Nothobranchius furzeri: one gene and its partner. The protein of the gene in region 2 interacts with the protein of the main gene of each other region in a biochemical or structural test. Links are inferred from orthologs where the notes say so. Each region holds a gene or a part of one and is shown on either strand. Other genes may lie near its edges.

Region 1 (4,106 bases), on a different chromosome or scaffold from region 2:
TTTAAAGAAAGTTTTTGTTTTTAGTCTGTTTCTGTTTGTGAGACCTTTGGCCTTTTAACCCAGGATTTTATTCCAGCTTTTTAATAAGCAGAGTTATAAGAAGCTACAAGACTTTTTAAAACAAAATGTATATATATTTTTTTCAATTTTGATTTTGTGAATTTTTTTTACTTTTAAACATAAAACATTGTTGGTACATTTTTTTTATTTAAAATGTAACCCTTAAGGACCCAAACCCTTTTGAGATAAAAAAAAACTGATTGGAGTAAATACATAAAAATGTAGAAAAACATAAATTAAAATAAAGAAGTAAAATGATTTTTGATATACTGTATGTGTAGGATGTCACTTGGAGTTGTCAAACTTGAAAATATGACGCAAGAAGCAAGTTTGAAATTGGATGTGACACAGTGTCACCACGAGTTCATCTTAAGCCTTTTGGTTTTTTGGAAATAGTTTAAGATTTAGGCAATGAGCAAGATTTAACATGCAAAACTGGTTAAATATGGCCTCTGCTTCCAAGATGGTTAAACCTCCCTTTTTATTATATATATTTATGAGGGTTTAATATTATCATTATCATCATCATTATTATTATTATTATTATTATTATTATTATTATTATTATTATTGTCATAATTGTTATTATTATTGTTGTCATTATTATTTTTTTATGATCATCATCATTATTATTATTATGATTGTTTTCATTATTATTATTATTATTATATTATTGTTGTTGTTGTCATTATTATTATTGTTATTATTATTATTATTATTGTTGTCATTATAATTATTATTTTATGATCATCATCATTATTATTATTATTATTATTATTATTGTTTTCATTATTATTATTATTATTATTATTATTATTATTATTATTGTTGTCATTATTATTATTGTTGTTGTTGTCATTATAATAATAATAATAATACTTATTATTATTATTATTGTGATAATAATAATAATAATAATAATAATAATAATAATTATTATTATTATTATTATTATATTTAGAGCCACTTGAGTCTCCAGAGCAGCAGACTCATTTTCTCTACCTGTGCGTCGCAACGGTACAAAAACAACAATTTGTTCCCCTATTTAAACACTGACTTCTGACTTTGGGTGTTTATTTGATCAGTCAGATCGCGCGCGCGCTCCCCGCGCGCCGCTGAGGCGCTCCACATAGCGCGGGTGCATCTTTCAGTACAACACCGGAAGTGCCGCAGCTCCCAGGCTCGTGTCCTGTCCCACAGCGGCTCCCAGTGCTTTTCATCAGAGCCGAAAGCGGTCACACCTGGTCGGACCCAGAAGAGCAGTTGGAAGCCGCTCCGCTCCGTCCAGGTGAGTCTCTCCGCCGAGTTTATCCCGCTTTCATCAACTTTTGCGGGTGTTATTTAGTGAGAAGACAGAGTTAACTAAAAAGTGCGCGGCAGCAGCGAAGAAACTTAGTGGTGCGTTTCCAGCTGAGCGCGACACAAACAGGGCCATAAAAAACGAGCTTACAGCTTTTATTAAGTGTCGTTTCGGTCTGACTTGACCTTGTTTTCCTCCGACCTGTCAACAGCTCCAGAGGTAATCGCGTGAGGAATGTGGTGTCACCAGGGAGCTGCCGAGTAAACTCACGTCTGTGCGCCTCTCCACCTCAAGTTAACTCCAGAATCAAACAAACAAATAATTACACATCAAGGGATCCTCATGGCCACGGGCGGATTTAAGTCGAACCCAACCACAAACATCCTGGAGGAGTGGAAGGCGAAACGCGAGAAAGTCAGGGCGAAAATGCTGGGTGACATCGCTGCAGCCACCGGAGTTCCCTTGAGCCCCAGCGCCAACAACCGCCTGGGAGCTCCTCCCGGCGCGGACCTCACCGGCAGCCCGGACTGGAGCGCCTCTGCTGCGAACTGCCACACCCCCTCCTGCCCCGGCGTAGCTCCGAGCAGACCCGAGGAGGACGCGCACCACCCCGCGGCACCCTCAGCCCCGGCGAGCAACCTGAAGAAGGCCCCGCCTCAGCCAGACAAGGCTCCGGGCGCGTCCCCGGACTCCAGTCTGATGGCTTGCAACGCCAGCGACAAGGAGAGTCCGTCACCCAGCAAGGGCAAGGAGAAGAAGAGCTCTGGTCCCAGTGCACGGAAGGGGAAAGGGAAAGGGCAGATCGAGAAGAGGAAGCTAAGGGAAAAGAGGAGATCAACAGGTGTGGTGAACATACCTTCCAACGAGGTGAGTCAGTCCAGCTGGGCTTCAGTGTTCATCCTCAGGAGATCTTGCTCCTGCTGCAAGCTGCATCACTGGAGGCAACATTTGGATGAAAGTGAACAAGATAAAGTAATTCTTAAATAACTGCATTAAATGGTGGATGCTTGTCTCAAAGGTTGGCAATCATCCAGCAAAAGTTCATTTCAGAAAGAGACAAGAAAGCTTTAATAAAAGTTAAGTCTGCCCTGGCCTTCAGGAGGGCTTGGAGAGGACCTTCAGGGGTCAGGTCAAAGGTTATCCAAGGGGAAATGTGTCAAATTATCAGTATTTCCTAAAATATTAGAGTCACCTGAGGAAATTGTCTGAAAATCAGATTTAATGTCTTACTTTCTTAACTGTTTTTTATATTCTAGGTTTGATTTTATTAAGTGTTGCTGATGTTATGAACATACCTGAAGGGAACAGTGTGTATTTCCCCCATGAAACTACAAAAAACAAGGTTGAGAGCAGCCTCGTTTCCCCTAAGAGACTGCAGATTCCTCTCATGCATGTGTCTGGTTTAATTGCCCCTCTGCAGAGAGAAAAATGAAAAGCAGCCCTGGGAAGGGGGTGGAGTTGGCGGCTTCTGGAAGTGTTTGGAGGCGGTTGTGCCTCTCATTGTTTTTGAATTTAAATCATGTCGCACTCCTAATTCCTGCAGTTCCGACGCTTCGCAGCAACTCGGATCTGAAGCGGTGCCAGTGAGAGCCACCACAGTGATAATGTACTCACGCACTCTAAAAGCTCTTAAATTATACAGAAATGTTGAAAATGAGTTTTTTTCCCCCTTATTATTGAAGGTATTTCTGTAGAAGTGGTCCATAACGTTCCCATTGGCCCAATTAAACAGCCACCCAAGACTCTGTGCCTTTGGGCATCAGGACTTGGAGGTGGACCAGTTCTGCAGTTGGCTCTACATCCTGTTATGAAGGACTGTTGGAGAACTGGTCTCAGGCCAGAGGTGGGACGCTGGGCATGTTTGGTTTTTCCCAGATAAGTCCGATGACTTCCATAGGCAGCAGTCTGTGTGGTAAAGTTTGTGGACGGACTATAATTTAGGAAATCTGAGGTGAACTTTTGCACATCCTGAATGGAACACGTTGATCTGAGTAAGTAGCACACTGTGTGTATCTACATAACCCCTCACTAAACCAGCGGGAGCACATTTGTGCAACAAGCTTTGAAACACTTGTTCAGCTTTATTAGGAGACACGTGCACATTTTCCTCCTCGGCTCAGATACAGATCATAACTTTGCACATTTGCAGGTACTTTAGGTGCTCCTAAAGACTTAGACTACTGTAACTCTCTTTTCACGTGTCTGAGCAGAACCTCCCTGAACCGTCTACAGGTGGTTCAGAATGCCTGTGTTCGGCTTCTGACCAAGTCCTCCAAACACACCCACATCACCCCGCTTCTCCTCCAGCTTCACTGGCTGCCAGTCAACTTCAGGGTTCATTTCAAGATCCTGGTTCTGGTCTATAGAGCCTTACATGGACAAGCACCATCTTACATTGGTGATCTTCTTAGTCCCTACACCCCCAGCAGGTCCCTGAGGTCCAGTGATCAAAGCCTACTGGTTGTGCAGCACCAGGCTAAAGACCAAAGGTGACAGATCATCCGCTGCTGTGGCCCCCAGACTCTGGAACTCTCTCCCCCTGAGCCTGAGATCAGTGGACTCAGTGGTCTCCTTTAAAAAGCAGCTGAAGACTCACTTGTTCAGGCTTTGGTGTGACCTTCATCACCACCCTCTCCTTATTCTGTTCTTATTCCACCTTTCCTGGGATCCATTGCTTTCCCTCTTTCTTATTCATTTTCTCGCTCCCTTTCCTTGCATTTTCTTCTTTTCTCCTTTCACACATATT
Region 2 (4,234 bases):
GATAGCAATTTATTGAATAAAATATGTCATTGCGTTCAGGTAGCGTAGCGATCATAGACTGTAAATACTAGGTAGCGATGTACCATTAGAAAGGTTTATTTTTGATTTGTTGTAATGTCACTAAATCGCCACCAGGTTGCGATAAATTCAGCGGAAACAGCAGCCAAAGAAAGAAGACCTTAGCACGTTGGCATGTTCACAGTTGCGACAGTTTTCTTTTTGAAAGTTCTCTTAATTTATAGTAATTTATTGAATGGAATTTTTGTTGCGTTTTACATGATTAGTTTACGATGTTATGATTTTTGTTCCATCAGGAAGCGTAACCATAGAAAAGGTTTATTTTTTAATTGTAATTTCAACTATTTACCACCAGGCGGCGACAGACGTCACACAAGCAGCGTCAAAAAGTCAAGGAAGAGAAACCGTTTTCTTTTCCTTTTGCCTTCTTCAGATAGCTCTCACTGAAAGCTACAATTGATTTGAAAATCATACATTCATTCATCCATTTTTGGATGGATTTTCAACAGATTTTAAAATCAACCCCTCCTAAACATTTAGAGCCAAAGCTAAGACTTACCTAATAGGTGAAAAAATTAAACCCCATAATTAGAAAAATAGGCATTTTTAAAAAGACGTCTTGTCTAAGCTCACTAAATCCCCACAAGAGGGTGACATTTATCCAGCAATGTCGTAATAATAAATGCAAACAAAAAAAGTAGCACCTTCTGTTGTCACAGACTGAATGATTATGTAAAGACACAATATTTTGGAAAAACCTAATTCTACGTTTAACTAGTTGGAATCAAGGCGCAGTCCACTGGATCCGCGCTACCTGTCCAGTGACCTTCCAGTGCGCGCTCCTGACAGACTCCTTGGCTCTAATTAGCTTGGCTCGTATGCTCGTAACCAATATTTTGTAAACGTTCGTGTATGGATGATTGTTCATTTCCCAGCCATTATATAAAAATAAACCAACATTTTCTACATGAAACTTTCTGCCATGTGAACCAAGGTTTTTTTTCTTTCCACTGTTCCTCATTAGGAGCCTTAATCATTGCAGTTGCGTGCTCAATCTTGTTTTTCAGACGTAATTCAGTCAATTCTCTCAGCCTGATGTCATTCCATATGGCCTTCCTTCTGTCCTGTTGGATGTTTACCTTTGTCAAGTTAAACGTCAGCACCGGAAAATAAGTTATGCTAGATTTCACAATAAAGTTTAAAAGCATTTAAATACACCAAATCTATTATATACTTTCCAATTTTCCAAACAAAACATACAGACCAGAATAAACTGAATAAAACAAAATTCTTACAAAATTTATTTTTAAAATACCACATTTATTTCAGGTTTTAAATACTTATTTTGACACAACAAACCGGAAGCGTGTTGTTTGGCTGTGGCTAAACTGAAACTGCTCAGACCAAAGATCCGCTCGCCCAGTTCCCAGGATAAGGAATGCAGCGCTGGTAGCCATCCATACCGTGAGTAACTATTTTGTTGACTTCAGATTCTTAGGGTTAACTGTGTATTATAAAAATGTACTTTTAGTATCTAACAATAAACGTATTTATGCTAAAGTATCAGGATACGGAGGTGTGGTGAAAACAAAGACATCCCGGCCGGTGTTTTTTACGCTAACTTGTTAACCAGTACAGCTAGCTGTCGTCTGTGGCCACGGTTTAATTTAGTTCTTCTCATATCATTCTAAATATGTTACTATTGAATAGATGTTTGTCGACTTTATTCTCCTAGCTGCGTGTAATAAAGCTCTTTAGTCGGGCTGTTTTTATTAATAGTTGTCGGTGAGGAAGGTCTGTGTTGCTGGCTTCTCTGACACAACAGCCGGATGTTGTAGCTTATGCTTTTGCAAAAGCCCTTACACTATACAACTTATCTGCAGTTGTTCTAAACAAACTTTAAAACATGTCTGTGTGGACAAATTCCAGCCCCTTTAATCGAGCCAGAGTTAGCTGGACCGGGACAGGAGGTGATGTCAGTAGGACTGGTATGCAGAGGTCTGACATCAGCCTAAAGTCTCTGAGAAAAAAAAAACACTGAAGCTGTGTTGATTAGAACCAAATAAGGAGGGAAGAAGTCAAGGTCATAAGGGGTGATTTACCATTTTTGGACTGAACAATACTCCGATGCTTTGTAATGAAAGCTTACAGCTGTAATCGTCATATTGATTGTGTTTGTGCCACATTTTTAATCGTCAGTATGTTATTATTTACGTGCGTCTAACTTTTCTCCTTTGCTGTAGGAAGTTTTTAAGGCATCTCTCCCATCATTGTTCGAGTCAGCACCATGGCTGGCTTCAGGCAGGAGGATGTAGAGCTGTATTATGAGATGGGGGAGGAGCTGGGCAGGTAAGAACAGCATCAAAAACATCATGATGCTTTAAATTCCTTCTTTTTTTTTTTTCCTCAAATGTGTGCTTGGAAAAAAACAATTGTGTAATTCTGAGAACTGAAGGCAGATCAGGCACAAGATGCTCAGTTTCAACCTCATCTGACCCAAAGCTCAGCATCCAAACTGGGCTAAATAATTTTTGCATTGCACCAGCAACAATAAAAATAATCCTACATCCCTTTATGCTGTGCTGGACAGTTCTGGAGATGAGTCAACATTTTTTAAAGATTAAACCCACCTCTCTGTATTAGCTGGTTTTCTTCTGCAGTAATGCAGCAAAAGTGTGACATCAAGTCCACCAAGTGTGTCCTTCCACCTCGGCTTTGTCTCCAAAGATGAGAACGCTGTGAGTTTGCCAAGACAAGCTGCACATATTAAGTGATGGAGAATGGACTGCACTGTAAAATGCTGTGTGCTTCTTTTTTCTGTTGTTAAATTGCATTAATCTAAACTTATCTATTTTCTGGTAGATTACCTCCTCATTTATTGGGCAGTTTAAATCTCACCCTAAAATATTCTAACACAATTTGTTGATGCAGCGTCTCTCTCATCCTTTCCCTCTGCAGTGGGCAGTTTGCCATCGTCCGTAAGTGCAAAGAGAAGAGCACGGGTATCGAGTATGCAGCCAAATTCATCAAGAAGCGCCGCCTGTCGTCCAGCCGGCGGGGTGTGAGCCGTGAGGAGATTGAGCGCGAGGTCAACATCCTGCGGGAGATCGAGCACAGCAACATCATCACCCTGCACGATATCTTCGAAAACAAGACGGACGTCATCCTGATCCTGGAGCTGGTGTCCGGCGGGGAGCTGTTTGACTTCCTGGCTGAGAAGGAGTCTCTGACCGAGGAGGAGGCCACGCAGTTTCTGAAGCAGATCCTGGACGGAGTTCAGTACCTTCACGTCAAACGCATCGCCCACTTCGACCTGAAGGTCAGCAGCCTAAAGGGAAGCTGGGGATGTAAAATATTTGGCAGAATCAGAGTTTAGACGTTTTTATCAGAACTACTAACGAGCACGACTTTAATGATGTTTCTCAGAGCGACAAATATTGATTAATGATATTGGAACAACAATTAAAAATGTTTTCACATCATTTTCTTTTATTCTGCTTTAATATTTCAGCCTGAGAACATCATGCTTCTGGACAAGAATGTGCCCAACCCCAGGATCAAGCTGATCGATTTTGGGATCGCTCACCAGATCAAAGCTGGAAACGAGTTCAAAAACATCTTTGGAACACCAGAGTTTGTCGGTAAGAACCCACAACCTAAAATTCAGCTGACGTTCTTCCAAGCAGGCCTCTCAGCTAAACCATGTAGAGTGGAAGATTTTCCCCCTCAGATCACATCTGGTTTGAATTAAAGCGCTCATTCCTCTGTTCTTTACAGCGCCAGAAATAGTCAACTACGAGCCACTTGGCCTGGAGGCAGACATGTGGTAAGATGCCATTCTGTACCTTTTTTCCCCCCCTTCTCATCAGAAGTTTTTTTACTAAACCGTCTGATGCTTCCCCTCCTTATTTTACCTGTCTCCTCTTGTCTGCAGGAGCATCGGAGTGATCACGTACATTCTGTGAGTAACGCATCACATCACGTCTGTCTGTTGAGTCACTGTGGTCTTGCGAGGTCTACATCCAACTCTGTCCCACCTTAGGTTGAGCGGCGCATCGCCATTTCTGGGTGAGACCAAGCAGGAGACTTTAACCAATATTTCTGCTGTTAACTACGACTTTGATGAGGAGTATTTCAGCAACACCAGCGAGCTGGCCAAGGACTTTATACGCCGTCTGCTGGTCAAGGATCCAAAGTAAAATATACACTCCTGTCT

The links. The genes of interacting proteins can lie anywhere in the genome.
Region 1: of the proteins of dapk3 (region 2) and pawr, one has a biochemical effect on the other in vitro, tested with the Homo sapiens proteins (2 studies listed by BioGRID). The link is inferred for Nothobranchius furzeri from reciprocal best matches to the Homo sapiens genes DAPK3 and PAWR.

Annotation. Positions count from the first base shown.
Region 1 is NC_091741.1:40,729,402-40,733,507, reverse strand, and holds the start of pawr (PRKC apoptosis WT1 regulator protein), read left to right. Parts: upstream 1-1,208; 5' UTR 1,209-1,348; intron 1,349-1,571; 5' UTR 1,572-1,702; coding exon 1,703-2,227; intron 2,228-4,106. UniProt on the Homo sapiens protein: Pro-apoptotic protein capable of selectively inducing apoptosis in cancer cells, sensitizing the cells to diverse apoptotic stimuli and causing regression of tumors in animal models.
Region 2 is NC_091751.1:45,573,931-45,578,164, forward strand, and holds the start of dapk3 (death-associated protein kinase 3), read left to right. Parts: upstream 1-1,365; 5' UTR 1,366-1,482; intron 1,483-2,261; 5' UTR 2,262-2,305; coding exon 2,306-2,367; intron 2,368-2,976; coding exon 2,977-3,337; intron 3,338-3,529; coding exon 3,530-3,659; intron 3,660-3,795; coding exon 3,796-3,844; intron 3,845-3,952; coding exon 3,953-3,979; intron 3,980-4,060; coding exon 4,061-4,213; intron 4,214-4,234. UniProt on the Homo sapiens protein: Serine/threonine kinase which is involved in the regulation of apoptosis, autophagy, transcription, translation and actin cytoskeleton reorganization. Involved in the regulation of smooth muscle contraction.